2 linked regions of the Caenorhabditis elegans genome follow. The protein of the gene in region 1 purifies or fractionates together with the protein of each later gene. This does not show direct contact. Each region holds a gene or a part of one and is shown on either strand. Other genes may lie near its edges. The genes, in order: slo-1 and islo-1.

Region 1 (15,429 bases):
TTTGAAAATTTTTGGCAATTTTTTTAAAGTGGTTTACCGCATATTCCATCCGCAAGTTTTCTTCAAAATCTTCGTGGATTAGGTTTTCCTGGTTGGAGGTTTTAAGTTGGCGTTGGAGGACCTGAAATTATTGGTTTTGAAAAAAATAATTGAAATTTGTAAAAAAAATTGAAAATTTTTTTTTTTTTTTAAATTTTCGAAATTTTTTATTCAAAATTTTTTAAAAAAATATTCACGAACTACTGTAACCTTTACTTAAACTTTTTTTAAACTTTTCAGAGAAAGAAACACACTTCCAACCAAAAAAAAAATCACCAAAGCTCACCTGCACGGCTTCGCTGATTTTGCCACGTGTCACAAGCCATCTCGGCGACTCGTGGATGAAAAATTGGAAGAACAAGATTCCCGGAATACACATGAACGCGTTGATGTAGGCTAAGCTTTTCCAGTCGCTGGCTAACCTAAAATTTCAAAAAAAAATTTTCGATTTTTTTTTTCCAAAATTTCGAAAAAATTTTATTTTGATTTGGTTAGCATTAAAATTGCAAATATACGGCTAAAATTTCAGCCAAATCCGTCAAATTCCAACCCAGTTACAACAGTTTTAGATTGATGGCCTAGAAACCCAAAACTCGTCCGCCGCCATAACTTTGCGGGAAATAGTCGGATTTTGTTGAAACTTTCAGGACTACACAAAAAAAATATGTTTACGCATAAAAACATATAGGGAAGCAGTGCAATGGCCGAACTTTTGCAAAACTGAAGAAATTCTAGGACATGGAAATTGAGCCTCTTTTAAATCTTACCACGCAAAATATGAATATATCGGCATGTTTGGAGACCACGTGATTGCCATGTTAATCCACATTCGATGCTTTTTCGGTATGTTCTCCATAATGAAAACGTTTATGATTCTGAAAAGAATTATTTTGTGGCCTAACTTTTAGGGGCGGAGGGAACTCTAGGCCACCAATGTCAAAAAATTATTTTGAACAATTTTTATCATCATTTCTGAAAACGCTAATCAAACTTTGTATGCTCTGAATTTTTCAGCCAAATCGATTAGCTATTGGCTAAGTTATGAAGAGGGACGTGTTTTGGTTTTCTAGGCCACCAACTTTAAACCCCCACAGTTTGGCCTAAAAACTACTTTTTCAAATTTTCAAAAGAGCAGTGTGATAAGCAAGGTTTGAAAATTCAAAATTCATGAAAAAAGTGATGGCCTAACTTTTTTTTGTGTTTCTAGGCCACCATCTTCTAACCCTCACAACTCGGCTTAAAATTGACTTTTTTTCAAATTTCAAAAAGTATTTGATTCACAATCTCCTATTCTAAACTCACGAGATACTTCCACCTGTGAAAAATCCCACGATTGTTCTGGAAATCGTAAAATGGAGCAAGTTCCGGCTCTGCACCACTATGAGCCAACCAATTAACATTCCGAGAGATGCAACCTGTGAGCCAATTTTTCTGCCGAACGAGTCACTGATTTGCCCAAAAACTATCGATCCGGTGAGCACTCCGAACATTTGGACGGAAATTGAATTTTTCACCAGTTTTGAAGTATTGCAGAAATAGTTGTACTGAAATTTTTTTTTTCGAATTATCGATTTCTGGCAATTTTCTCCAAAAAAATTTCTTACCTCCACATTAATACTCCTAAACTGGTACTGAAACTCGGGATGTGAGCAATTTCCCATTTTATCCAGCTCAAAGCATATTTCCTTGCCCTCCAGAAGACTGTCGAATACGATATTGTCGCAGGAGATGACACGTGGCGCCGCACCTAAAAATATTGATTTTTCTGGTTTTGAAATAATTTTAGGAACATTGGTTTTGCAATTTTAAAATGAAAAATGTCAATAATTTTTATCAAATTCTGAAAAAAAAAATTTCAGTGAAATTTTATATTTTTTTCGGATTTTTTATCTAACTAGGGAATGACCAGAATAAGTGGAGCGATATTCAAAAAAAAAAATTGTATCGGAAAGCTGACTTTCTCTACTATAAGAATATGACTGAAATTTTTGCCCATTCTGATTCTGATGCCGTATCAAGACGTTTTACAAAATCGATATTGGAAAAACACCTTGTTTTTGAGACTCCATATCTCTGCAGGAAAAAATCGCACTAAAAAGTGATCAACTGAAAACTTGTTAAACACAATGTGATCTGAAACTTTTCAGTTGAACACTTTCTTGTAAAAAATTTGGTTGCCAAGATATAGACCTTTAACTATTTAAAATATTCAAAAATAATGAAGCTCAAATCAATTGGTCCCAACTCGGCAACCAAATTTTTTAAAAGAAAGTGTTTTACTGAAAAGTTTTAGATTACATTATGTTTAACAAGTTTTTAGTTGATCACTTTTTAGTGCGATTTTTTCCTGCAGAGATATGGAGTCTCAAAGACAAGGTGTTTTTCCAATATCGATTTGGTAAAACGTCTTGATACGGCATCAGAATCAGTGATTCGGTCATTGAAAACAATGAAAAATAAGTTATTTGTGACACTCTACATTATTTCATACATTTTTGAAAAAATTTCAAAAAAAATTTTTGGATCAAATTTTCGCATGGGTTTGGTGGAGAAAAAAGTGGCAATTTTCGAAAAAATAAAAATTTCTGAAAAGTTTCCAGCCCGAATGGGCAAAAATTTCAGTCATATTCTTATAGTAGAGAATGTCAGCTTTCCGATACAATATTTTTTTTTTGAATATCGCTCCACTTATTCTGGTCATTCCCTAGTAAGATTTCCTTAAATATTTTTCTAGTAAATACTGATTTTTTATGAAAATTTTCTAGATTTTTCTACAAAAACTTAAATTTCGAAAATATTCGAAAAAAAAATAAATTTCGAAAATAATATATTTCGAAATATAAAATAAAATATATACAATGTAAAAATTGGAAAAGCTTAATAAAAGTAATTTTTAATGTTAACATTTCTAAGATTTTCTGATTTTTTTTAACTTGTGAAAAAATTCTAGAATGTTCCTGAAAGTTACCTAAACTTTTTAAAATTTTCTGAAAAATGCTCATAAATTTCTTTACATGTTCGGTTTTTTTTTGTTTTTGCAACAATTCCTAATTTTTTAATTTTTTCAGTTTCAACAGCTATCTAAAATATTATGAATTTTCCAAAAATTTTAAGATAACTTTTTTAACAATTTCTAAAAAATTTAGAACTTTCTAAACTTTTCTGAAAATGTTTTTAAAAAAATTTTCTAGAACATTTTTAAATTTCTGGAAATTTTTTTTAAAAACATTTAAATTTATTTAAATTTCAACAATTTTCTAAAATTTTCAAGAGTTTTGCAGTCTCAAAAAAAAATCAATACCTGCATACATCATATAAAACATAGACGATACTTGCGGTAAAATCAATAATTCTGCGGCCAAGCACACCAGGAGCACATACTTGCCCATTTGAATATAGTCGTCGAGCCCGTGCACTTGCTCGGGCTCTTTTTCCAGAAATTCCAGTTTTGCTCCATTTTCAGGAAGATTTATAGAGTCTTCTGATGAATTACTCGACGTAGAAGACATTAAAATAATAGTATTCGTAGTTTAAAAATTTTTTGAAAAATACAAATTTTCAAAAAAAATTTAAAAAAAAAAAGAAGTTTTTCCAAAAAAGTTCAGAAAAACATTAATCGTCTGCAAATCAAATTTTCGATACCATGATCATTATCACCCCCGTCTCCTGCCTGCCAAATAATCATTTTCAAACAGGTTCTCTTCGGGTGATCTACTAATTGATATATCATTGAAGGGCATTCAACTGATAACTGATGTGATGGCGAGATTGGTCGGAGGTCAAACAATTAGGCCTTTTCCGTGGAAAATTGGGTAAAAATTGGGTGGAAATTGAGTTTGTTTAGGTGCATTAATATTGAATATCGATTTTCTTCTGAGTTCTTACAACAAAAAAAATGTTAAAGGTGGTGTAGTCGAATTTTAAATGTTTTTATTAGACTTTTTATTAGAAAAAATTAGACTACACCACCTTTAAAATTTTTTTCAGAACTCACAATTGCCTGAAAACACCGAATTTCATAATGAAACTTCTTGAAAACTTCTCAAAAAAAAATATATGACTAAAAATTTGAAATTTGGCTTACTTGTCAATGCCGCAGCGGCTGGAAACAATATTTTTGAAATCACCCTCTAATTTTCTGGGTATAAATGTATTTTAAAGTTGATGGTTTTGTATACTCAAAATAAATTTGACGGCACTTTCAAAAAAATTAATTTCCAGCCGCTTGAAAAGTCGGTCAAATTTTATAATTTAACTAATTTTAGGCAATTTTTTTTAATCCTTCATAACCTTTTTTTGAGAAGTTTTCGAGAAGTTTCATTATGAAATTCGGTGTTTTCAGACGATTTTGAGTCTAATAAATTTGAAAAAAAATTTGGCTACGCCACCTTTGATTTTAAAACGTATTTAAAAATGAATAATAAAACCATTTTTTGAAATTTTAAAAAAGTTTTTTGCATTTACTACTCTTTCTACTATACTTTTTTTTTGTTTGAAAAAGCTTAGAATATTACTTTTTCTTTTTGTACAAAGAATCTTCAAACTTGGCAATTTTTTGTTATTAGGTCTCCAAATAAGTTCCGGGTCAAAAATCATAACTTTTTTCGCCTTTTATCGGTTTTTTTGAAACTGTGGGAATTTATGTTATCAACCATGATCTTTCATTTTAAAATAATCACAAAATGTTTTGACCACCCGGAGTGCTCTAACTCGGAGCCAATTTTTTCAGGCATTTTTCTGACCTCGCTTCTTTGTAGCTTTGAGTTAAGGTTTTTGTGCGTATTTTGCTTTGTTTAAAATACATTGTAAAAAAACAACAAAAGTTTGGAAAAAAATCCGTCCAAAAAATTTTTTTTGGTAGGTCGTCAAAAAAAGTTGAAAAAATTTTTCTCAAAAATTCTTGATTTTTTGTACAAAAATGATGTAACCATGTGTGTATACCGGTTTTACACATATAGAGCATTTCAGTTTGAATTTTGGATCTCGAGAAAAACTCAAAAAACTCAAAAAATTCTCCGAAATAATTATGTTTCTATTATCATTTTAGTGTATCGAACTAATTTGAAAAGTTTTGTATGTGTAAAAATAGTTTACACATGGTTACATTATTTTTGTACAAAAAATCAAAAATTTTCGAAAAACATTTTTTTGAACTTTTTTTTGACGACCTACCAAAAAAAATTTTTTTGGACGGATTTTTTTTCCAAACTTTTGTTGTTTTCTTACAATGTATTTTAAACAAAGCAAAATCCGCACACAAGCCTTGACTGCCTAGAAAAATTGGCTCCGAGTTAGGGCACTCCGGGTGGTAAAAAAATGTTGTGTTTTTTTTTAATGAAAGATCATGGTTGATAACAAAAATTCCCACAGTTTCAAAAAAATCGATAGAAGGCGAAGAAAGTTATGATTTTTGACCCGGAACTTATTTGGAGACCTAACAGAATTTAAAAAAATCTAATATTCAACAAAAAAAAAAAAAGATTTTTTTGTTTCCCGTGTAAAACTTGTGTAAAACTTTCCAATAAAGTTATAATTTTCCGTCCCAAAATTCAAAAGATCAGCGAAATGTGTCTGTGTAAGAAAGAATCTGGATAAGTGTCAGTGTCCCGAAACATATTGCATCTCATTGGACAGGGGGTAGAAGGGGTACCACAGATACCCACACATCGGTTTTGAATTTCATAATTCTCTTTTTCTCGTTTTTCCTTATTTTTTTCTATTTTTCTCATGTTCTTCAGCATTTTTAAGATTTTTTTCAAATTCAAAAAAAAAATCTTTTTTCTAAATTTGCCAAATTTTTGAATAGCCTATCCCATTTCTAAACCTAAATTTGTTCTGATTCCAAAAATATCTTTTTCGCCGTTCTCATTACAAAACTGACCGAGTTACGGTCGTTTTTGCACATTACGGCGAGAGTGCGGAGGGTACAGAGAAGGCAGACACTCTGCCCGTCTGCGTTCTCCACTCTCTCGTCTTTGCGTGCAAAAACGCGTGTATCTTGGTTTTTGCTGCTAAAAATATAAGGAAAAAATATTTGTGATCAGAAAAATTAGGCGGTTCAGAAATTATAAAATTATATTTTTTTTTAAAATTATAAAAAAAATAAAAAATTTATAAAAAAAGAAATTATAAAAAAAATTTCTTTAAATATCCAAAAATTTATGTTTTAAGAACCAAAATTTTGATTTTAATTCAAAACTTTACTTTTTATTAATCGTATTTTAAAACAGAACGAGTTAGGCGAGAGAGCAGAGGGCGCAGAGAAACGAGACACTCGTTTGCAAAACCGCCCGTAACTTGGTTAGTTTTTTGTTGGGGCTTATGAAAAATATGTTTTTGAAATCAGGAAGTTAGGGTAATTCAGAAAATATCTAATAGTGAGTTGAATAAAAAATGTGAAAAAATTGTTTCAACATTTTTTTTTTAATTTCTAAAAATTTACTTAAAAATCCAAAAAAATAAATTTCCTATCCAAAACTTTTTTTCCTGACTCAAAAATTATATTTTTCGTCGCTTCTACTACAAAACAAATCTAGTCACAGACGTTTTTGACGAGAGAGAGTGGAGAGCGCAGACAGCTAGAGTGTCTGTTTTCTCTGCGTCCTCCTCACTCTGGTGTGCAAAACCGGTCGTAACTTGGTTAGTTTTTTGCTGAGACCTGTTAAAGATATGTTTTTGGAATCAGAAGAAAAATGTGATTCAGAAAACACAAAATTTAATAAAAATTTGAAAAAAATTTTTTTTTTCAATTTTTGAATTTTTTAAAATCAATTTTTTACGCAAAAAAAAATATTTTTTCCAGTTCCCCCAGCCTAAACATGTTAAATTGAATATTCCCAAAACAAAAAAAGTTCCTTCCCTCCCGTTTTCCGCCAATTTTCCAGGCAGCTTCTCCTCCTAAAATGAGGTCGTTGGAGACGCAGACACACATCTCTTACGCATTCCAAATGCTTCAGCTTCTTCTTCTGGCTCGCGGAGCACCACGAGCAGCAGCAGCAGCTTCTGCTATTGCCGGACGGACGGAGGGGTGTATTGATCCATCTCTCTGTGCAGGGAGGGAGGGGGAGCCAGAGAAAGGTTGAGGAGGGGGATGAGAAGAGAGGAGGGGGGAGAATGTGTAGTGTAACTCTTCTTTTCTCCCCCTTCCTCCATATATCTTGATATTTTTGCACACTCACACACACACACACGTTCTCCAGCTCCATACACTAACCCATTAAGTACTATGTGTTCAATTTTCTAATTCTCATAAATTTTCAACTTTTAATTTAGATTTTGATCTACTTTTTTTTGTTTGCAAAAATTGAATTTCCCACCAATATTTTTCTGAAAAAAATTGAATTTCCCCGCCAAAATTAATTCTAAGGAAATTTGAATTTCCCCGCCAAACTTTTTCTGAGAAAATTCAAATTTCCAGCCAAAATTAGTTCTAGAAAAATTTTAATTTACCGCCAAAATTTTTCAGAGAAAATTTGAATTTCCCGCCAAAAATTTTTTTCAGAAAGTTTAAATTTCCCACCAAAATGTTTCTCAAAAAATTTGAATTTTCCGCCAAAATTTTTCTAATTGTAAGAAAATTTGAATTTTGCGCCAATGTTTTTCTGTGGAAATTTGAACATTCCTCTAAAATGTTCCTCAGAAATTTTAATTTCCTGCCAAAATTAATTCTATTAAAATTTGAATTTCCTGCCAACATTAATTCTAGGAAAATTTGAATTTCCCGCCGAAATTTTTCTGAAAAAATGTGAAATTGAATTTCCTACCAATTTTCTCAGACATTAATTCCTTTTCCTAAATTATAAAATTATAAATTATAAATTATTAAAATTTGAATTTCCTGCCAACATTAATTCTCAGAACATTCAAATTTCCCGCCAAAATGTTGTTCTCAAAAAATTTGAAATTCCCGCCAAAATTTTTTGTTGAAAAGCAAAAAAAAAGTTGTTGTTCATTTATTTATTTTTTTCCAAAACTTGTGTTCCAGAACAGCAATTCATCAAGTTTTTTGCTGGTTTTCGATGAATAATGGCGGGGCTCCCTGTGGCATTTTACCATCGAAAAACCAGAATATAAAATATACCTATTATAAATCTGGAGTTTTGAGGAAATTGAGCTTTTGGTCGATGTACCATGTTCTTTTTTTTTTAGGCTTTTTGGCAAATAACTCATTTTTTAAAATTGAAGTTGAGCCATTTATGAAGTCAAATTCAGGCGGCTTTTTACTCCTAGATTGCGTTTAAAAGTCGAATATTGATAGAAATTTTCAAAATTTCCCGATTTTCTCGATGCACCATGTCCCCCAGAGCCGGACATTTTCAGTCAAAAATACGTGGGATACGTGAAATTTCCGGGGAGTTTGTCAGGAAAAATGACAGATATGTCTAGGCACGCTCTACGTCTCTACTATTTTCTCCAGCCTAACTGGTCCATTATGTTCATTTATTCGTCGGGAGGGAAGGCCTCGCTGCTCCGACCTAATTCTTTTCTCACTCTACACACTACTTTTTCCGCTTTTTGTCCCCACCACCACTAGTTTCTGGTGATGACATCATTTTTCTTCGTGAGAAAATGAGCATATTTTATGAGATTTTTAAACTTCTTTGGGCTTTTGGGAAAAGTTTTTTTTTTTTGAGACAAAAAAAAATTTCCAAAAAATTTTCAGACTCGCCGAAAGCCGTCGGGTGGACCCTTCGTCGACACGATGGGCGAGATTTACTCGCCTTCGCAGTCGAAGGGCTTCAATCAACCATATGGATACCCGATGAATTGTAACCTTAGTCGAGTATTCATGGAGATGACTGAAGAAGATCGAAAGTGCCTGGAGGAGCGCAAATATTGGTGTTTTTTACTGAGCAGGTAAGGAATATTGAGCTGAAACTAGTGAATTCGAATTTCTGAGGTTGCCAGCTTTCAATTGACCCCCATCTTGATATAATTTGATGTAGTTTTAAATTTCGGACGCGGCGCGGTCGCGTCGCGGTTGAAAACTAAAATTGTCAAATTTTGAAAAATTAGGCTTTATTAACTACAAAACTTCAAAAATTATTGAAAATTAATTCAAAATGAACTAATTCAAAGCAAGAGTAAACACTTTTGACAGTGGTGCGACCGCGACGCAACCTCGCCGCGTGACCCAAAATCTCAAAATGCTCCAAACCCAGTCAATATGGGGCTTATTTTGAAGCTAGCGACGTAACCAACATAAATAGTTCATTTTCAACAGGCCAAAATGGTCTGTTCTCAAAATTGAAACTTTGAAACCGCGACGCGACCGCTTTGCACCCAAAATCTCAAACGCCTCCAAAACTATCCAATATGGGGCGTATTTTGAAGCTCATGAAGCCACAAACTCAAAGTATCAAGTTAAAAGTGTCAGAGATAGACAATATTAAAAATTTGTTTTTAAAAAAATTCCGACCGCGACGCGACCGCTTTGCACCCAAAATCTCAAACGCCTCCAAAACTATCCAATATGGGGCGTATTTTAAAGCTCTCACTCTTCCAAATCCAACAAAAATATTTTCAGCATCACCACATTCTGCGCCTCAATGATATTGGTCGTAATATGGCGAGTGGTGACACACCTGTGCTGTCAACGCCGAGAAAAAGAGTTTGTGGAGCCCATACCTGCTCCGGAAGCCGTCCAAATAAATATGAACGGGTCGAAGCACGCGCCAAGTGAAACCGACCCGTTTTTGAAGCAACAAGAGGAAAAACACTTGGGATGGATGACAGAAGTGGGTTTTTGAACAAAAAAAATTTAAAAAAATACCTAAAAAATTCAAATTCCCGCCTAATTTTTGTTTATTTTAAGTTAAGTTTTGTCTATTTTCAATTTTCTACATTTTTTCAAATTTATGAAATTCAACAAAAAAAATTTCAAAAAAAAAACCGAAAAAAATATGCACGAAAAAAGTGGGCGGAGCTTGTTCTTATTTTTAGGATTCTCTAGCGATGCAGCTTTACAGAAGTATTCGGGACCGCAGGGCAAGTCCAAAAGTTTTCTGAAAAATTCACTGATTTTTATGGAAAATGTGGAAAATGTTCCCCCTTACCCCGCATTTTTTCTATTTTTCCGAAAACTTTCAGGAAATGTTTTTTTTTTTGCTTTTGTAGTTATCGCATTTTTTTTTATTATTTATTTTATTATTTGAAGTTTGCTGAATTAAAAAAAAAAAAAAAAAAATTTTTACAAAAATGAACCCCTGTGGGGACAATTTTGGGACATGGGACACTCCGGGACCATTTTCAACAGGAAATTCATACACTCCGTGAAATTTCCAAAATTTTGACACCCATATTGCCTATGCTCAGACAAATTTGAAATATGCAATGATTTCGGGCCGTTTCAGGCCGTTTGAGGCCGAATTAAGCCAAAATTACCAATTTCTCAAATATGATCGATATGGGGGTTGTTGAAACGCAAATTTTACGGAGAATTCGAATTTTTCAACTAGAAGTCTCGCAAAGTGACCCATGTCCCCGATTTGTCCCCACAGGGGTGCATTTTCTAAATTTTCACACTTTTCTCCCTATCGTAAATGTTAAGTCGTGTTAATGTGGAAATTTGCATGACCAGCAAAACCCGATTTTTCTCTATATTTTTGCATATTTTTTTCTGCACACTTTTTGGCCACGTGGAGCTGCACTTCTCCACCACCCGCCCACACTTTTTCACACTTTATTTTCGGGACTATTTTCATTTTTGGTAGATATGGATGGGATTGTTCTCTGAAACTAAAGGTGTGTGGTTATATTAGACTTTGTTTGGTTTTGAGTTTTCAAAAAAAAAATTTCAAAAAAATAATTGTTTTCCAAATTTCTAAAATTTTGGAATTTTCCTGAATTTTCAACGTCTGAAATTGTGATTTTCAACCTTCTGATTGTCAGCTTTCATTAAACACCTATTTTGACTAGTTTCCGAGCAGTTTCATTTTTGGTGCTTGCGTTGCGGTCGCGTCGCGGTTTTGAAGCGAAATTCGTCAAAACCTAGTTAAACCAAAATAAATACTCATAAATAAATATTATTTGCACTTGAAAATCAATATTTCAGTTACAAAAACTCATTTTTCACACTGAAACTTAACAACTAAATTTGCGCACGCGACGCGACCGCGCCGCGCCCCCAATTTTTCAAACTTATCGGAACATAGTCAATATGGGGGTCAAATTGAAGCTGGAAACGTCACAAATTCAAATTTCACAATGAAATTTCTCTAAATTAAATTATATTTCCGAAAATCTCAATTTTCATTTCAAAACATGAAGTTTTTTGTAGTTTTAGCGTTTTTCTCCGGACTTTATCCCCTGAAAACTAGAACCGAGTGAGTTTGATGTAGCCTACACCTGTTGAGAATTACCACACATTATTTGTTGGCCTATTTTTAAAACTAAATTTCACAAATTTTTCAGGCCAAGGACTGGGCTGGCGAGCTGATATCCGGACAAAGTCTGACGGGACGGTTTCTGGTACTTTTGGTGTTCATTTTATCGATTGGATCGTTGATTATTTATTTTTACGACGCTAGTTTGTGAGTTTGAGTGTTTAAAAAAAATATGCAAAAAATTTCGAAAAAAAATTTTCGAAAAAAATTTTTTTTTTATAAAAACTTTTTTCCATGTGTTTTAAAATAGTTTTAAAATAGTAACTTTATTATAGATTTCATAAATTTTTCAAAAATTTTCAGCCAAAACTTCCAAGTAGAAACGTGCATCCCGTGGCAGGACAGTCCCTCGCAACAAATCGACCTGGGCTTCAACATATTTTTTCTCGTCTATTTTTTCATTAGAGTAAGTTTTCACACTTTTTTCCCGGAAAAATTTGACTTTTTCATGTAATTTCTGATAACTTGAGCTAAAATTTGATAAATTTCGAAAAAAAAAACGTTTTTTTTTTTTTTTTTTTTTCAAAAACTTTTCCAAAATTTTCCAAAAAATAAAATGCATTTCAGTTCATCGCCGCGTCCGACAAAGTTTGGTTTCTGCTTGAAATGTACAGCTGGATTGATTTTTTCACGATTCCGCCAAGCTTCGTGGCAATTTACTTGCAGAGGAATTGGCTCGGTGAGCATTTTTGGACACATATTCGAACAAATTTGGGATTTTTTATTTTCCCATTTAAAAATCGAACTCCTGATGTTTTAAGCTTCAATTTGACACCCATATCGGCTATATTTGGTTGAACTTGAAATTTGGGGATAATACGCGACGCGCGACCGCGACGCAAGCAACAAAATTCAAATTTCTCAGAACCCAGCTGATATGGGGGTCATTTTGATGCTTACAAACTCAGAAATCATCTTAAAATCGCACGGATAACTATTTTTGAATAACTATCGAAAAAAAATTCAAGTTTTAAAAATTTCAAAAACTCAAAAAATTCCAGGATTCCGTTTCCTCCGTGCTCTTCGCCTCATGACCGTACCCGACATTCTACAGTACCTCAACATCCTGAAAACATCTTCATCAATCCGATTGACACAGTTGGTCACAATTTTCGTGGCGGTTTGTCTGACTGGAGCCGGCTTGGTGCACTTACTGGAAAATTCTGGGGACTTCTTCAAAGGATTTATAAATCCGCACAGAATCACTTATGCGGACTCTGTGTACTTTGTACTGGTCACAATGTCTACTGTCGGATATGGAGATATCTATTGTACGACGCTTTGCGGCCGACTTTTCATGATTTTCTTCATTCTGTTCGGTTTGGTGAGCTTTCTTTTTCAAAATTTTACTGGTTTTGAAAGGTTTTAAGTAAAAAAATTGAAATTTCTGTAAAATTTGCGTTAATTTAACATCCATATTGACTATATTATGAAAAATTGAATTTAAGGCTTTCTGGGCCCAAAATCGGCCTGAAAACGGCCTGAGAGTGTAACTGAAAGCTATTTTTGTCCTTTTAAAAAATGTGATAATTTAACACCCATTTTGCCTAAAATCCGAATTTTTCAAAATTCAGGTCAAAATTCAGAACCAAAGTCGGCCTGAAAACGGCCTGAAACATAATTTTAGGAACTTAGCTATTATAAGGGTTAATAACATTTTTCTTTAAATGATGTTGTTAACTTAACACGTATATTGGTCGAAATCACAATTTTTTAAATTTAAGGCCTACTTGGGCCCGAAATCGGGCTGGAAACGGCCTGAAAGCATGATTTTAGGAACCTAGCGGCTGTGAATTAAAATTACAGTTCTCCTTTGGAAAATGTTGCTAATTAAACATTCATATTGCCCATTATCACAAGTTTTCAAAATTCAACCCTATTTATGGCCGAAATCGGGCTGGAAATGGCCTGAAAGCATGGTTTTTGGAACTTAGCGAATGTAACTGAAAATTACTTTTCTGCTTTGAAAAATTTTGCTAATTTAACACCCATTTTGCCCGAAATCACAATTTTTCAAAATTCAACACTATTTAGGCCCGAAATCGGCCTGAAAACGGCCTGAACTGACTTTTCAGAACACAGTCAATATGGGTGTCATTGAAACGGAAATTTCACGGAGATTTCAATTTTGCTAGGTAAAACTGTCCTGTGTACCCGATGTACCCAAGTGTCCCCGACACTGTGGGGACAAACTCAAAATCCTTCAATTTACATCGAATTTTTTGATTTTTTCACTAATTCTCCAATTTTCAGGCCATGTTTGCAAGTTACGTACCAGAAATTGCCGATTTGATTGGAAACCGGCAAAAATACGGTGGGGAGTACAAAGGAGAGCACGGGAAGAAGCACATAGTGGTCTGTGGCCATATCACCTACGATTCGGTGTCCCATTTTCTTCAAGATTTCCTACACGAGGACCGTGATGACGTGGATGTCGAAGTGGTGTTTTTGCATCGTGTCGTGCCGGATTTGGAGCTGGAAGGCTTGTTTAAGCGGCATTTCACAAAAGTCGAATTTTTCACGGGGACTGTCATGGATTCTCTGGATCTTAGCAGAGTCAAGGTACACTTTATTTTTAGCTTAAATTTTTCTGAAAGAACGCAAAAATTTTAAAAAGTTGCATCAAAAATCAAGTAGAAACCTTCAAAACTGACTGAGTTATGCGACTTTTAAAAAAGTTACCCCTGTGGGGACAATTTTGGGACATCTGGCCTCCTAGGCAATTTTTAAGCAAAATATACAAATTTTTTACAAAATTTCCGTAAATTTGACACCCATATTGGATAAATTCTGAAAATGTGGATTTCAGGCCAATTCGGGCCGGCATTGCGCACATGCAGGCCTGAAATCGAAATTTTTGTCAATGTTGTTGTCAAATCAACGTTATTTTTGTGAACACCAATGAACCTCATTAAAATTTACCACCCATAGCCACTAGATTATTAAGCCTTGGGCTTTGGGCCGAATTCGGTCCCATGAAGGCCTGAATCGCAAATTTGGAGAGCGGGTGTCAAATTTTTAAACTGATTTGATAATAAACCAAGTTTTGACATCCACATTGGCTATATTCTGAAAGTTTTGGGATTAGGCCAATTCTGGGCCAGTTTAGGCCCTGGTAGGCCTGAAATTGATATTTTGCCCAATTTTGGTGTCAAATCAGCGTGATTTTTGTGAAAACTACTGCAACTTATTAAAATTTGTCACCAATAGCCACTAGATTATGAAAACTTGAGCATTAGGCCGAATTCGGGCTGATTTCGGGCCTATGTAGGCCTGAAACGGAAATAAACCGATTGTTGTCGATATGGATGTCAAATTTAAGGAAATTTTACGAAAAAAACAAATTTTTGAATAAAATTGGTCTCAGAATGTCCCATGTTCCCACAGTGTCGCCAGGCTCCGGAAAATTTTTTGAAAATTTTTGTCTGAGATCCATATCTCAGGCAGTTTTTAAGATTTTCTTCTTATTTTTGTCTTAAAATATTGCTAAATGCCTGAATTTTGTGTCTGCAACACAAATTTTTATGAAAATTTTATTCTTTCCAGATCGGGGACGCCGACGCCTGCCTGGTCCTTGCCAACAAGTACAGTACCAATCCGGACGCCGAGGACGCCGCAAACATTATGCGTGTAATTTCGATCAAAAACTACTCATCGGACATCAGAGTTATTGTGCAACTAATGCAATATCACAATAAGGCCTACCTTCTAAATATCCCCTCCTGGGACTGGAAACGAGGTGATGACGTCATCTGTCTCGCGGAGCTTAAGCTCGGATTCATTGCTCAAAGCTGTCTGGCACCCGGATTCTCTACGATGATGGCTAATTTATTTGCAATGAGAAGTTTCAAAACGGTAAGTTAAACAAAAATTGTTGTATTTGTGTTTTTTTCTAACCAAAAATTGCCCGTAAAGCATGCACATGGGACATCATGGGACACTTGAAATTGCAAAATTTGAAATCTACACAAAATTTTGATCGAGATTGGCCTTTTTTTTTAACTTA
Region 2 (15,429 bases), on another chromosome or scaffold:
TAAAAGAATCCGGCACTTCCACTGGCACTGTCATCTCCAGACCAGAATGTGCGGGTTTGATTGTCGCATCCGGTCAGCTTTACTTTTGAGAGACTGGAATTTGAGGTTTTAGTTGGAAACTTCGCATTGTTGATTAACTTTCATATTTATATTTGGCTTTCATGAAATAATTTTGAAAAAACTAAAATACGGTACCCGGTCTTGACACTACGAATTTTAGTTTTAAGTAAAAACAGGTGTGCGCCTTCTAAAAGAGTACTGTAATTCCAAACTTTCGTTGCTATGAAATTTTCGTAGATTTTTCGTAGTTTTCCTTAATTTTGTTCCAATTTTAGTGTTTCTATTTTTATCTTTAATTTTTTTATACATAAATATAATTTTATCGAAAAATCGATAAAAAATCCTCAGCAACAAAAGTTTGAAATTACAGTACTCTTTAAAGGCGCACACCCATTTGTATGTGACACAGCATTGTCGTGTCGACCGGGTGCGGTATTTTCTAAAATTTAATAGTTCAATTAAGCTTTTGAAATTACATATTCAATTCGTGAAACTTACGAAAATGTGTAGACTTTTTGTGTACTATTTCTCGTTATATTACCCGTTCCATCAACACAGTGGTAATTCAATTCCAATCCCCAACTGTTAATAGCGGCTATCGCAATGATTATGAAAACCTGAAAAGAATCACAAATGAATTTTCTCTCAAAAGAAATTCAAAAGTTTTCCTTACAAATTGAATAATTCTTATAAATCCTAATGGGAATTTGAATGCAGATATATTTAATTGTGCAGGAATCGAAGGCATTTTTTCGTCTGAAAAATTGAGACGTAATTCGTAGGAATCGATCAATAAAATCAAAAACTGATGAAATATCGAAAAATAACAACAAAAGTGCGTAAAAGGAGAGAGAGAAAGAGAGCTTGCTGTGTCATGTTCTCTTTTTGATAACGAGAAAACTTATTTATTACAAGAGATACCATGTTACTGTAGAAACATAGAGAAACGAGACAATTTACTCGACTGTGACTCCTCTGTGGATCAAGTGCCGATTTTTTCGAGGACAGCGATGTTTAGGAGACGCAGAGAATGCCATGACTGTTCTATTTGCCAAGTGGGTTATTTGTATTGGTTATGCTCCGCCTCATCTAGAGAACCTCTTAAATTACGTTTATTCATTCTGCAATGAATTTCGAACAGGAGTGCATTCGGGATCCTAGAAAAAATGGATAAAAACGGGGAAATAATAAAAACAGGCAAACACTAAATAGGACGAAAAATAAACTTTATCTGCCAAGAATACGACGTAGAAAGAAGGGAACAACTACTTTCACAGGAGAAAACCACACATTCGATTAGGAGACGCGAGTTTTCAAAGTGGGGACGGGGAAACTTTTGCAAAAAAATCTGAATATTTAGCTCGATCCAATGACGATGGTGGCATCCTTGAACGAGTATGCTGGTACGTGAAGATTCAATGGAGCTGGTCCCTGGAAAAAATGAAGATTTTGAAAAAAAGATCACCTTTACATTTTTGTGAATTTTATCAACGTTAGGGTGACTTGAAAACATTTTTAATGTCAAATTTAGAAATATAAACACTTTTTTCCGCTATTGAAGTTTTAACTTTTTTTAAATTTTCAACATTCTGAGAGCTTAATTTATGATAAAGATTTTCACGTAAATAATTAGGAATTCAAAAAAGAATTGTCTAATTACTTTTCCTACGTTCGGAAAAAAACTGATTTTCATCAAAAAAAGCGAACTTATTTACTACTCTTTTATTCCGTTTTTTTTAATAAAAAAAAAGAAACTGTAAAAACTAGGTATTTATTTAAAATTATCAAAAGCTTTACTAAGAAATACCAAAATTTACCGTAATAACGGTTAGGATAGGACTGAACTTTCGTTCGTTCCAGAAGATATCTTCTTGTTTTTGTTTAAATTATCTCTCTTTTTATAAAATTTTAAGAGAAAATTACAATTTATCATTAATTATATCAAATCGCGAACTTTTCTTCAATAAATTATGAAAAAAAATTATAAAATTTGAATTTTTCAGATTGTACTACATTTAGCAAATAAATGTCTTACCTTTCTAATACGTCCAGAAGCGTCGTAGTGAGATCCGTGACAAGGGCAGTAATAACCTCCGTAATCTCCAGCATCGGCTGAAAATTCAAAATATGATTTCAAAAATTCAGGAGAAAAAAGACTGCATACCAATTGGGACACATCCAAGATGGGTGCACACTCCAATGACAACGGACCATTCATCTTTCTGCACACGTTCGTCGTCATGTTGTGGATGACGGAGATCGGCGACAGGGACGGCCTTTTCCTTGGCAATCTCAGCCTTGGTACGATGTTTGACGAAGACTGGCTTTCCACGCCATTCGAATGTCTTTGTTTTTCCTTCTGGAATATCAGCCATGTTGATTTCGATCGAAGCCAAGGCACGTTGATCAGCTGCCATAGCCTGGAAAAATTAATTTAAAAACGGTGTAATGGAAATTCAACATACTTTGTAAGAAACAAGAGTCTGTACAACTTCCTTTCCGGCCCACAAAGATAGAACTCCTCCAGCTGTAATAAAACAATGTTTAGACCGAATAAAAAATAATTCGAACCTCCATAATACAGAGCAGTTGGAAGAGCACGACGTTGATCCTCGGTGTCACGGGCTGGCACTTGAGTGTTCTTTGTAGAATCACGACGATAGTTTGACATATCGGGGAATGTCACATCAGTGTGAGCCAAACGGCGAGAGGTGACTTAAAAATTAATGAATTAATATATTAAATTCAATTTCAAATACCATTGATTCCCTTGACAGCAAGTCCATTGGTGAAGACACCTCCGGTGCTGTGACTAACAGCGGCTTGACGAGCTTCAGCCGTGGAGAACTCAGCTGGAACATCGCGGAAAGCAGCGACCTGGATACTAGACAATAAAATAATATTCTGCAACTTTAAATACTTACATTATCGGCGGCTGGTGTTGCGGCAACAAAGTTTACATGTTGCTGGGATCCGCTGATCTGAAAGAAAACTATTTATAAACTATTGGACAAAATTTTAGAACTGTAATCGATATCTTAATCATTTCGACACCGTCCAGTGTTTTGGAACGAGAATAGTTTAAACAAATACATTTTAAACAAAATTTTCGAACGCGTTTCTCGCAAAATATGATTATTTCTCGAATTGAATAGATTATTGGAGTGTTTTTCTTCATATTTGTTCAAAAAATACTTACCACTTTGACTGCAAAACCTCCAGATCTAGCAAGAGAAGCCATTGCCCCAGTTGATGCCTAAAATAATTATTTTAAATATTTTTAAGTTTTTGAAAAAAATAAAACAATTTTTAAAATATGAGAACGGCTAAATTAACAGATCAAGGCAATGAACAACTGAATAAAACGTTTTCAAATTGATGAATTTTGCCGAAATTTGGAATTTTAAAGAATTAAAAGCTGAAAAAAGGCTAAAATTGGGACAAACTCAACGGGCGGACTGTCTGTATGAAGAGACACAGAGAAATTTTCGGCACGCGTCGCCCTCCGCATCGTTGTCAATAGGGCGAACATGCATAGAGACTTTTCCGTGTGCTCAGACGAGAGATTCCTTCTCGTTTGTAATAATCGTTGACAGCAGCATCTCAATTTCAAAATAATGACGCGGGTACGGGTACTAGAGGCCGTTTTGCCCGCACAACACTCGGCGACAAGATATCCGCCACCAGCTGTGAATCGGATGAAAAATACAGAAAGTCGTCCAGCTTTTATTTTTATTCCTGCTCAATAATACAATTTATATTCAGTTCTAGATTTTCTTATTCAAATAATTATTCAAGATGGTAAGTGTTTGATAAAAGATGATCCACACGATGAGGAAATCCACGAAAACATCTGTTGCCACAACCAACACTCCAGTTGACACACCAAACTATTTAGAAAAATAAATTGAGAGAAAAGATGTGGCTGTTTGATACTGCTCTGCGGCACGAGCTCAAAGAGTTGTAATCAAGGTCCAATCGAGTCGTGCCGAAAAGTTTAGCCTTTCCTTCTTCCGGACCTGATTGGTTTCAGATGGGAAGTAAAAGAGGACGCGGCGCGGCACCGTCGAATCAAGAGCGCGTCCGCACACATTTATTCTTCGGATCCAAAGCTGAACGACCACATCAAAAGCGGAAGCGGAGAGCTCAGAGTGGGTTTTTGTGTGGAAATTTGCTTTAAAAAAAGGATATTACGTAGACGTCTAAAGATGATGATTTTTCCTATATTTTACACACAAAGGTCTTGCCACGAAGACGAATTACTGTAATATGGTATCGATTAACAGGTCGTTGAAAATCTTCGGACATCTTACAAAATTTTTAAAAATTACAATTAAAATAAAATTCAAAGAATATGGTACAAGCGGCCCATAAATCGATACCAGCTACAGTAATTATAACCATCAAAGCAATACTGAGAAGTAGTAATTTAAATTGACTTTATGGGTCTCACCACGATGTACTGAATGTAGCACAGAATATAGAGTTGTTGTATTAAATATAAGGGGTTTTCATGTCAATTTGATTCTAAAAACTCATAAATATTTTCGAAATATTAAAGACAAGCTTCACGTAACTGCAAAGGATAAGAAAGACGAAATGGTTCAAGCTGGTGCAAGTGAGATTGATCCTCAACAATGGACTGGAAATCAAAGAGTTCTTCATTTTGGACCAATGGCTCAACGTGATCCATATTTCTATTATTATCCAAAAGGATGGGATATATTGTATCCAGCAACATTTGGATTTTTTCCATATAGAACATCGTTAGTTTTTTGATAATTGAAACTGTAAGCTGGAAATATGAGGGTTGAATAGCTCAACTAAATAACTCGTAGATTATAATTTAATGGAGTATGTCCTAATACATCATATTCAACGCGAAAATTCAACAGAGACGCAGAAAATATACATCAAGTTACTTTATCAAAAATTTAAAAAAAAACCCTGAAAAAAGCATTATTTTTTAAAGAAAATTTCGTGGCTCGTCATCATTGATTTGTTGTACAGCATTCGGCGTTTTTCTCCTAATTGGAGGACTACTAATGTCACTTCTTGGATATAAATACCTTTATACTTCACCATTCTGGACTTGGCCATACGAACAAAGAATACGACCACCACCAATTCAAATTGCGGGTCCTATTTTATTTGGACTCGGATGTTCGTTTTTGATAATTTCATTAATCTACTTTTTATGCACAACAAAGCTCTGTGATCTCTCGTTACACCACACAAAGAAGCACAATGATCCTGCTAGGCTTACGACTATTACAACACATTATGTGGTAAGTCTTTTTGATTAATTGAAAATTCAAATTCAATTAGAAACCCACATGTCCTTGTAAAAGTTGCGACTACACCTTTGAAAATTTCATGAAAGTAATATAAACAATTAAAGCTAACAAATTAACGTCTAAACAAACTCAAAATGATCGTACCATAATTTAAAAAAAACTATTAAAACATTTTAGATTTCTGAAAATGGCATAGTTTTGGTAAATTGCCAAATTAACCGAAACAGCAATGTGTTTGAAACCTTACAAGGCTTAGATACAGTTCACTAGAACGAAGAATGTAGGTAATAATGCGTATCAATTCAAAATCAAAATGTACCCATTTTAGTTGTTACACGTTTACAGCCGCTACCTCCGATCTTTGAGAAAGATCCATATCAACCTCTACCTCCACCTGCGTACCCAGTTCTTGAGAATCGACACGCAATGTCTAATGTAGTTAAGCCACACGATGAAAAGAAACTGTATCCACCAGTGTAAGAACTTCATTCAAACCGGAACAAGATTCTGTAAATCTATAATTTCAGAATTCCTGGATGTTCCACACTTTCCCTTCATAGACGATCTCCGAATAACATTTTTGTAGCAAGTCCATATAATACCCTAAGAGCTACAAGCGTTGGAAGATATCAATCTGGATTCCTTGACACGAATTCAATAATGGAAAATCGGTTAGGATCAAGGCAGCCGTCAGTTGCAAGTAGAAGACAATCAAGTGAAGCTTCAAGTCAAAAAAGATCCAAATCAATGGGACCTTTACATCGAACTAACTCCAATCGAAGCAAAGGATCAGGAAGATCAAGAAGGAGAGAAAATAGTCAAATATAGACATTGTTTTATGATGTTAACCAGATTTATATTGTTTTTTTTTAATTTCAAAATTCTGTATCCACAAAGATCAACCGAAAAGGAGATGAATAATTTGTAGATATTTTAAAATATTTATCTACAATAATATTTTCCATCAACCAAATAAAAAATTCGACCTTCGCCCTTTGTATGTCTTCCTCTCGTTTCCCATTTTTCACTGCGTCTCAATCGCTGCTGACTCATATCTGATTGACCTCACTGTTTCTTCCAATTTCCTTGGTCACTGATAATTATACTTCCGTCTTTTTTCAGTTTTCTCCAGTATTTTTATCATAACATATACTCAAAATCAATCAATACAGGAACGTCTAGTCTACAACTTTATTATAATAACAGGTGAGATATTTTGTTTTTGGTAAACTTCATAATAGTGGAGCGCTGAACAAAAGACGAATTTTCTGATAATTTAAAATTGAAATGAAATATATTATTTACCCTTTATAATTAACTTTGTTTGAACCTAAATATTGCTCATATTCGAACAAACACTGTACACTTTTTTACGAAATTCAAAGAGACGCTACTCAGTAAATAAACAAGAAAATATAAAACAAACTGTAGTGCTCATCTCAATTTAACTGAGCTCACAAGTATTTCACCGATTTTATTAATTACAATTGATTGAGCACCCGAATCTTTTACATAATTTCATGGTAGTTTTGCACCTTTTTTGCATAATTCCTCTTATGGGTCTCGCCATCAGAAAAAGTTCTGAGAATTTTTTATGATCCCTCCATTCCACAATTAATGAAAAAATATTTTGAAAATTTCACAAAAATAGACAAAAACGAATAACATTTAAATCTGACTCTTTGAGACCCAATTCAAAAATATCCATGTGTCTTTAAGTACGCGTTACAAAAATTGCGAGAGAACAATTACTAACAGTTCAAATGTAAATAGATATTGTTAGTAATTGCCAAAACTATGGGAAATTCTTCTATTTAATCTTCATTGATTGAGTTGATTTTTTTGTTGATAAATTCAAAATTCCTAATATTTTCTAAAATATCGAATTTCCTAAAGTTATAGTGAATCCGAAAACCTCCAAAAGAAAACAAAGTAGTGACCATAAACAATAAAAAAATCATTGTTTCACAATTTTTACACTTCACTCCGCAAAAATATAGGTCGCTTGAGTGTTCGAGTTTACATGGCGTGTTTCGCAATAAAACTTTCATTTTGAAATCCCCGACACTCCTCTAATTTCCCCCGACAACGCTTTTCGTTATTGATTTTTTCACTTCAAGCCCTAACTTGAACCCATTTAAATTTACAGATGGCGTCAGTCCCATCGTCATCTAGTCTCCCAGTGTCGCATGTCCGTCGTCATGAAGACGTGTCAACACCAAGTGCACCACCAACCAAACGAAGTAATAATCAATCTCAACCTCCAGAAAGCTACGAACCCAACACCTGGTTGCAACAACAACGAGAGCAGGAACAACAGAAAAAGTTAGCTGCAGAGAATATTAAGAAGCAGAGTATCGAAGCAACGGGAAACAACGAGATGGTTGGGGAGGAGGAAGAGGTGAGGGAGAAAGATTTTAGATTTCGTAAGTTGACGAAAGTCAATCCGCGCGTTTTGTTGATATGCGGAGAATCATAAAAATGATAAAGGTAAAGCTTCAGTATGACTTTAATCTAAGAAATCGACCTTAATACTCTAAAAAGGATGGAAATAAAACATTCCATAATTAATTTTTTTATAATTGTCAAAGTTTCAAAACTAGCTTAATATTTGTAGAATTGACTAGAATTGACATTTTCAGAAGAATCTAACCCCGCGCACGCATAGCTCATTTTTTGAGAAGTTTTTTCTACAAAAATTGCAACACAAAATTATTGCGCCGTCTTATTTCCAAATGATAAAATTGGCACGTGTACTAGAGACCAAACCAAATAGGAAACTGGCTATGTAATGCCTCAGAAATTTAGCTTTACAGAAATAAACATTGTTGACAATATTGCAACCATAGGTATTCCAAAATCTTAATCATCATTATATTTTCAGGATATTCTCTCAAAACCATGTGGTCCACACAAACGACGATTCCAATTTGTGATGATCCGTAACATTACATTTGCAATTCCGGAAGGCTATGACGTCGAGCCAAACAGCATTGAGTATTTGGGTGGAGGCTCGTTTGGAAATGTTATGTATGTTTTTCAGTATTTGTGTGCTTTATTTGAATGATTATATTTTCCAGAAAAACAAGTGCAGTGTGCCGTGACGGGCTTCGTCGTTATGTTGCAATAAAGAAGATGCGAGAACCGTTCTTTGATCCACATCATGTAAGACAAAGATACATTTTTATTGAAGCTAGAGCATATTTTTTACAATTCAAATGAACTAATATCGTATTAAAAATTTTCGAACTTTTTCTATGTACAGTCAAGAAGTGGTGATTCAAAATTTTGGGGCAAAACCAGAATTTTAAAACTAATCTTGTTTTCTGTTTTCGTCTTTTTTTTTGTTGGAAAATTGCCAAAACTTTAGAAGAACATTTCAAAAAGCTGATATTTGGTTTTTATACCCATTTTTGAGAATATATTTGGTCGATCACATCCTTTGAACACCTTAAACTTCCAGGCTCGTCGCATCTTCCGTGAAACAAAACTTCTTCAATTAATGAGACATGACAATATCATCTGTGCTCTTGACATCTACACACCTGACGAGGAAAACGATTTTCGAGATGTGTAAGTAATTACAAAAAAGTTTTACAAACAATCTATAATTTTCAGATACGTTGTCACTGAATTTGCGGGTCGTAGTCTTTATCAGATCTTGAAGCAACAAAGAGATTATGGACGGCGCGTGCTGACCGACGAGCATATCAAATTCATCATTTATCAAATCATACGTGCACTTAAGTACATTCATTCTGCTAATGTAAGTCAATGGAGTTAGTGAACAGAACATTGCTCATTCTTTTTTTTTTAATAGAAATATCAGCATTTTAGATTAAATAAAATTTCATATAGGAGGATTAGGCACGATTAGGCCATAATTAGTCAAAAAGAACATGACTAAAACACGAAAATATATTTATTAAAATTTTTTAGATTATACATCGTGACTTGAAACCAGGAAATCTCGCGTTGACCGATGATTCTGACCTCATGATTCTCGATTTTGGACTTGCAAGATCCTTGGAAAAGAAAGATACTTCTCTAACACAATATGTACAAACAAGATGGTACCGTAGTCCAGAAGTCATTTATTGGAAGATTGATAGTTACACAAATCTGGCAGATATGTGGTCACTTGGATGTATTGCTGCAGAACTTTTAACTGGAGAACCACTGTTTCCGGGTGATGAGCCCAATGCTCAATATCAACGTATTACTCAATTATGTGGAAGTCCTGATGAAGAACTTTTGACAAAGATTGAAAATGATAACTCGTCTGCAATTAAAGCCGTAATTCAATCCTACACAACTCACAAACGTCGAAATTTCCGTGATGTATTTTCTGCTCATAATCCATCAGAAGACTTTATTGATCTACTTGAGAAGCTTTTAGTTTTGGATCCAGAGAAGAGGATTACGGTGGAAGAAGCTATTCAACATCCATATTTGGCAGAGTTTTCACTTCCAGAAGATGAACCAAGAGCTGATCATATATTTGACTTGGATGACTCTCAAGCTAGAACAAGATTCGAGTGGAGAGGTAAGGCTCAAAGATCACGTAATAGAATTCTGCACACCTGCAAATTTGAAAAACAACAAATGCAAAAATATTTTATTACAGATGCCGTCTGGAAGGAAATAATGAACTACAAAAGACTCAGCTCATCACCGTTAATCCCTGGAGAAGCAGATCGCTGATTTCATTCAATTATATTAATTGTATATAATTCCGGAAATGTATTACTTCTTTTCCCTCTCTCTTTCTCGTCTCTTTGTCGTTCAGTGATAGCAACACTTTACAGGTGATAATGATGTTTTCCATCTTCTCTTTCAAATTCTTTCAGAGTATTTATTTTCTTGCATTCTATAGCTTCTTCCTTTTATGTCTCTGTCTCCTTCTCTCTTTCTCTTTACTTCTCCATTTCTCTGAATCTCTTTGTCTCGTTTTTCTCTCATGCTTTTATCCCATCATATTTTTTTATATTCGTCATTCTTGTCATTGCACCCTTACACATACTAATTAGTTCAATAAACTTATTTTCTTTTGACAATTCGTTTTAAAAGCTTGAAGTGTTTTATAAAAAAGAGATTGGTTCTAATCCGTGTCACTCATATTTTACACGAGCTTATATGTTTAAAGTGAGATTATCTGAAAATTTCTGGAATTTTTTTAATATAAAAAGCATAGTTTGACTTGACAAAGTTAATCCTGAACTTCAGCTTAAAACGTTTATTCAATTAGCAGAAAAATTCAAACATTTAAAAAATGTGAAATAAGATTGAATTATTATTTTGGAATACCTATGTAGGCAATTGTCTGCCCTTTTTCGAAATATTAAAACTTTCGTGCAAAAATGTAAAAATTATATTTACAAATTCAATTCAAACTTTTTCTAGATGTCTTGTTGATGGGGATGTCGGCGACCATGGGCGATTCAGCCAGCATTCCCGGTGTCTTTTTTGCCGATTTTGGTCCTGCCCCGCCTGAGATTACTCCAGAAGGATATCATGAGGTATAGTTACAGAAGAAGATTTTTTATAGTGTAGTGAATATTGTCTAAATATACTAGAATGAGCTAAAAGAAATTTTGCAAATTACAAAAACCCAATGAGTTAATTTTAGATTATTCATCATTTTTAGTCAAAGTTTTGGAAAATTTCCAAATTTGCGGACTATTTGAAAAAAAAATTAAGATTTTTTTAATCACTTGAACAAAAATGATTTTATAACGAAAGTCAGGAGAGATTTTTTTTGGTCGGCTTCCAAAATTTTTTTTTTGAATTCCTTTTTTTTTTTTGAATTCTTTAAAAAAATCCAATGTTTTCTTAAAAGTAAAACACAATTACTCATTTTTTGCACTATGGAAGTATTTTTTAATCATCTTCTCCCTGTTGCGCTACTCCATTTTTACAGTTGCCAAAATAAAAATAACTACAAAATTCACGAAGATCATAGGATATGAGACATAATGTGATGGTGATATCATTGGAAATAAATATAAATTGTCAAAAACTATAAATCTATAAATTCATAATAAAAAAAAACTATAAATTCAACTACATATTTTCCTTTTTTATTTCATTGCAATTTTTAGTTAGATTATTTGTAGGTCGAACTAAACAAAACGAAATGGGTCTTACCTCAATGGTACAACAGTTTGAAGCCTCTAGGAGAAGGAGCGTATGGAGTTGTATGGTAAGTTACAAAAATTGAGATATATCTAAAATCTGACATTTTTTTGTAGCACAGCAGAATATGAGCCAACTGGAGATCGAGTTGCAATTAAAAAGTTCTTTCGCCCATTTCAAAGTACAATTCACGCAAAACGAACCTATCGGGAACTGAAACTTCTAAGAACTCTACAACATGATAATGTATTGGAAATGATTGATGTATTCACACCAGATCCAGATGCATCTTCTTTGAATAATGTGTGAGTTTCGGATTGTTTAGGGGAATAAATTGCTTCTCAAGAATATTTAAGGGATTTGAGAAAAAAGAGGATTAGATGATGAGAGAATAGAAAACCCGGAACAAGGTAGAAAAAGTTTGAGAATTTGAAAAGATTAGACTGGAATAAAGTTAAAATAAAATTGAATTCAAAAAATGAAAACATTTTCAAATACAAAAATAGTATATTTTCATTTTTAGTGAATAATTGCGGATTTCAACGAATTCAACGCATATCTGTCAACTCTTTTTTATATTTCGGAAATTATTCAGCCAGGCTCGGTAACTTGCCAAATTTTGAAAAATAGTGGGGCTTCTGAAAAATTTGAAACGAAATCAAATCTTTAGTTAAAATACTATGACATAATTTTTTGAAATGGTTTAGTCGTTCCAACAATTACTGACACTACTCCGCGCGCTTCAAAAAATACTGAAGAAATTTCGAATAAATCCAAAAATCTAAATATCTGACGAATTTACAATTTCAGATATTTCGTATCCGTTCTGATGGGCTCCGATTTACAAAATATTATGAAAATCCAACGACTGACCGATGAACAAATCCAACTGCTTATCTATCAAGTGTTACGTGGGCTCAAGGTATTATTTTCATTCCCTATTTCTGGTTATGTCAGCACTCAAACCCTATAATTTTCGTATCTCCTTTTCTCGTATTTTCTCAGGTTTTTACTCATATTTCACAAAATACGATTTGCTTTAGAAAGGCAATATGAGAGATATAAAACAAGTTTTCAGAAAATAGAAAAACAGTAGGGAATTTTCAGAATAAATTATTTTTAAGTGTTCTCAAACTTTTTCCCCAGTTTCGATGCCTGCGTCTCTGCATCTTGTTTTCCTGCAATTTCTAATTAAATTCTGAAGACGATTACTCCATCCTTTCATTCTTTTTTCTCTTCCTTTTTCTCTCTGATAGATGCATTTTTTCGATTAGGCACGGGTCAAGAGATGAGAATGTAGAAAGCCACTTTTTTCGGCCACTGAAAAGCCTTCAAATGTTATGCTCCAGCGGCTTTTCCAAACACTTCAAAAGTGATTTTTATGGAAAAATTATAGTTTCACTGTAATGCGACAGATTAGTTTTTGAATGAAAATATAAATCACAACTTTTTTTTTTAATTTCGTAGTTCTTATTACATCCGAAGATTTTAGACAAACCAGTTGAAAGCTCAATTTTTCTCGTTTTCTCTCTTGAGTTAAAATGGAAAACCAAATACGCAGAAATGATATATGAATGTGACAGGTTCTACATGGAACATTCATTCTGTTAGACAGAATACGAATGAATTCAAAGAAGAGTGCATTTTCGTATTTTTTGCCATAAATTGTGATTTCGAAGCATTTCGACAGTTTTAAAGAATTTAAAACGTAGTTTCTTTTCGAGTTTTGACATTTGAAAGTTTTTTCTATCCGTAAGACAGTGCCTTACTCCAGGGTACGGTAACGGATTTGCTCATACTTGAACCCGATGCTTTTCAATAAAATTCCATATTTTTTCCCGATCCGGTAATGTGATTTTCGGTAACATAAAATGTTTAAAGATAATTCCATTAATGTGAAATAGTCTCATAACAAAAATCTCAACTTGAAGATCGTTAGAATGCCCAGCTCAAACGTTTAAGTTTTATTTACAAGGAAATCTGAACATTTGGTTTCTGTCTGAAATTGTATCTGTTTTTAAGATACACGCATTTATCCGATATTTGGATACAATATATTTCCAATGACATACGTTCAAATCTAAAACAAGAGTTACCTTGCATTCCACTCTCTCACTCTATATACCGTGACCTATGCAATACCATTTGTGTAACCTCCTGCGTATCTCAATCACGTGTACTATCTCATAAAATAGTGATCGATGAACACCTTGTCTCCTTTATAATGCCAAATACAACATTAGGCTAAACACAGGCTGTTTTCTATCCATTTTTTGACTTTTTTCTCTAAGTTTCCTCACATTCAATTCTACTACGGTTTTGTTTCATTTTTCATGATAAAAGTGGTATGCTGGCAGACTATTGTTTACATAGTACACACTTCTTTTTTTTTTCTTTTTTTGTTGAAAAAAAATCTTTTGAAAGCTTTTTAAACTTTTTTCAATCTGAAAATTAAAAAAAACATTGAATTTTGCGTTTTGTGGTAATATATTTAAAATATGAGCTTTTAAATTTATTTTCTGTTTCAGAGAATGGGAAAACTTCTTATAAGAACAGATTTTAACTTGTTGAACATTAAAATACTTTTTAATCTAAACAGTTTGATGTGAACAGTTGCAAATAACGCTTCAGTACATGAGTCACCAAAATTTCAATTCAACTATTATTCTGAAAAAATTAATGCATCCTTTTCAAAGAAGAAACACACGTTTTAGGCTGGTTAAATCTTACAACAGCTTTGTTTCAAATATTTCTTCCAAAAATTCTTTGATCTTTTTCTCCTAATACTCTTTTACATTCAAATATTTTCCTATTCTTGCAGTATATCCATTCGGCAGGGATTATCCATCGCGATTTAAAACCATCGAATATTGCTGTCAATGAGAGATGCGAAGTCAAGGTTTTTCTTAGTTTTTCTCAACTTTCTTTCCTAATTCTTTCATTTTTCAAGATTCTCGATTTTGGATTGGCTCGTGCTCAAGACGCCGAAATGACTGGATACGTGGCAACAAGATGGTACAGAGCTCCAGAGATTATGCTCAATTGGATGCATTATACACAGACTGGTGAGTAAATAAAAGAAATTGGTTTCTATGCACTTAAATAGTCACCTAAAATCTTTGAACTAAATTGTTAAATATCATATGATTTGAGGTTAACTTCTGACATTTTGAAAGCATGTTTCACCTGTTTCTTGTAGTTATGCTAAAACGTGTGAAAATATGAAGAATAAACTTTGACTTGATATTGGTATTTCTGGTTTCTGCAATTCTCTCTCTATTCCAACTTCCTATTTTTTCAAATAAACGAAAAACTTGATATATTTATCACATGAAACAAAAACATCATTTTTTTTTACTTCTAAAAATGTTACCAAAATATTGAATTTTTCAGTTGATGTTTGGTCAGTTGGATGTATTCTTGCGGAACTGGTATCCGGGAGACCATTGTTTCCAGGCGATGATCGTGAGTTTTATTCTATTCCTCTAATACTTTAAATATTTAAAATTTGCAGATATTGATCAGCTAACAAAGATAATGTCAGTTGTGGGTACCCCAAAAGAAGAATTCTGGTCCAAAATTCAATCAGAAGAAGCTCGAAATTATATTAAGTTAGTGTTGCAAATACTTCTGAAATTCAATTACTAGACTAGAACTGAAAAAAAAAATAAATCGTTTACGCAAAAATCTTTCAGAAATCGTTCTCCAATTATCCGTCAGGACTTCGTTACATTGTTTCCAATGGCTTCTCCATATGCTCTCGAACTTCTCGAAATGATGCTAATTTTGGATCCGGACAGAAGAATTTCTGTATCAAGTGCTCTTCGTCATGACTATCTTCGTGAATACTCTGTGCCAAATGATGAACCAGTTGCAATGGATACGGTAATAAATAGCATAGTACGAAATTTAAGTTCGCTTCTCTAAAAGTACTCCA

What was found.
Region 2: the proteins of slo-1 (region 1) and islo-1 purify together in Caenorhabditis elegans (affinity purification with western blotting; one study listed by BioGRID). This does not show direct contact.

Annotation. Positions count from the first base shown.
Region 1 is NC_003283.11:18,483,566-18,498,994, forward strand, and holds the start of slo-1 (BK channel), read left to right. Parts: upstream 1-8,740; coding exon 8,741-8,895; intron 8,896-9,565; coding exon 9,566-9,776; intron 9,777-9,981; coding exon of another isoform or gene 9,982-10,026; intron 10,027-11,451; coding exon 11,452-11,570; intron 11,571-11,726; coding exon 11,727-11,829; intron 11,830-11,990; coding exon 11,991-12,102; intron 12,103-12,424; coding exon 12,425-12,747; intron 12,748-13,676; coding exon 13,677-13,985; intron 13,986-14,969; coding exon 14,970-15,278; intron 15,279-15,429. Other genes in the region: Y51A2D.18 (Major facilitator superfamily (MFS) profile domain-containing protein), read right to left, coding at 38-121, 326-461, 807-914, 1,342-1,583, 1,644-1,786, 3,341-3,548. UniProt on the Caenorhabditis elegans protein: Potassium channel activated by both membrane depolarization or increase in cytosolic Ca(2+) that mediates export of K(+). Its activation dampens the excitatory events that elevate the cytosolic Ca(2+) concentration and/or depolarize the cell membrane.
Region 2 is NC_003282.8:8,132,740-8,148,168, forward strand, and holds islo-1 (Interactor with SLO-1), read left to right. Parts: upstream 1-3,649; 5' UTR 3,650-3,858; coding exon 3,859-3,861; intron 3,862-4,093; coding exon 4,094-4,211; intron 4,212-4,621; coding exon 4,622-4,826; intron 4,827-5,032; coding exon 5,033-5,348; intron 5,349-5,702; coding exon 5,703-5,833; intron 5,834-5,884; coding exon 5,885-6,185; 3' UTR 6,186-6,353; downstream 6,354-15,429. Other genes in the region: sph-1 (MARVEL domain-containing protein), read right to left, coding at 1-93, 559-677, 734-808; isp-1 (Cytochrome b-c1 complex subunit Rieske, mitochondrial), read right to left, coding at 1,417-1,491, 2,096-2,172, 2,225-2,480, 2,526-2,587, 2,632-2,775, 2,820-2,937, 2,985-3,041, 3,260-3,301; Mitogen-activated protein kinase pmk-3, read left to right, coding at 7,507-7,758, 8,242-8,387, 8,438-8,522, 8,821-8,930, 8,976-9,123, 9,297-9,903, 9,985-10,061; Mitogen-activated protein kinase pmk-2, read left to right, coding at 10,772-10,876, 11,474-11,559, 11,609-11,797, 12,303-12,414, 14,314-14,391, 14,443-14,557, 14,886-14,957, 15,007-15,103 and 1 more.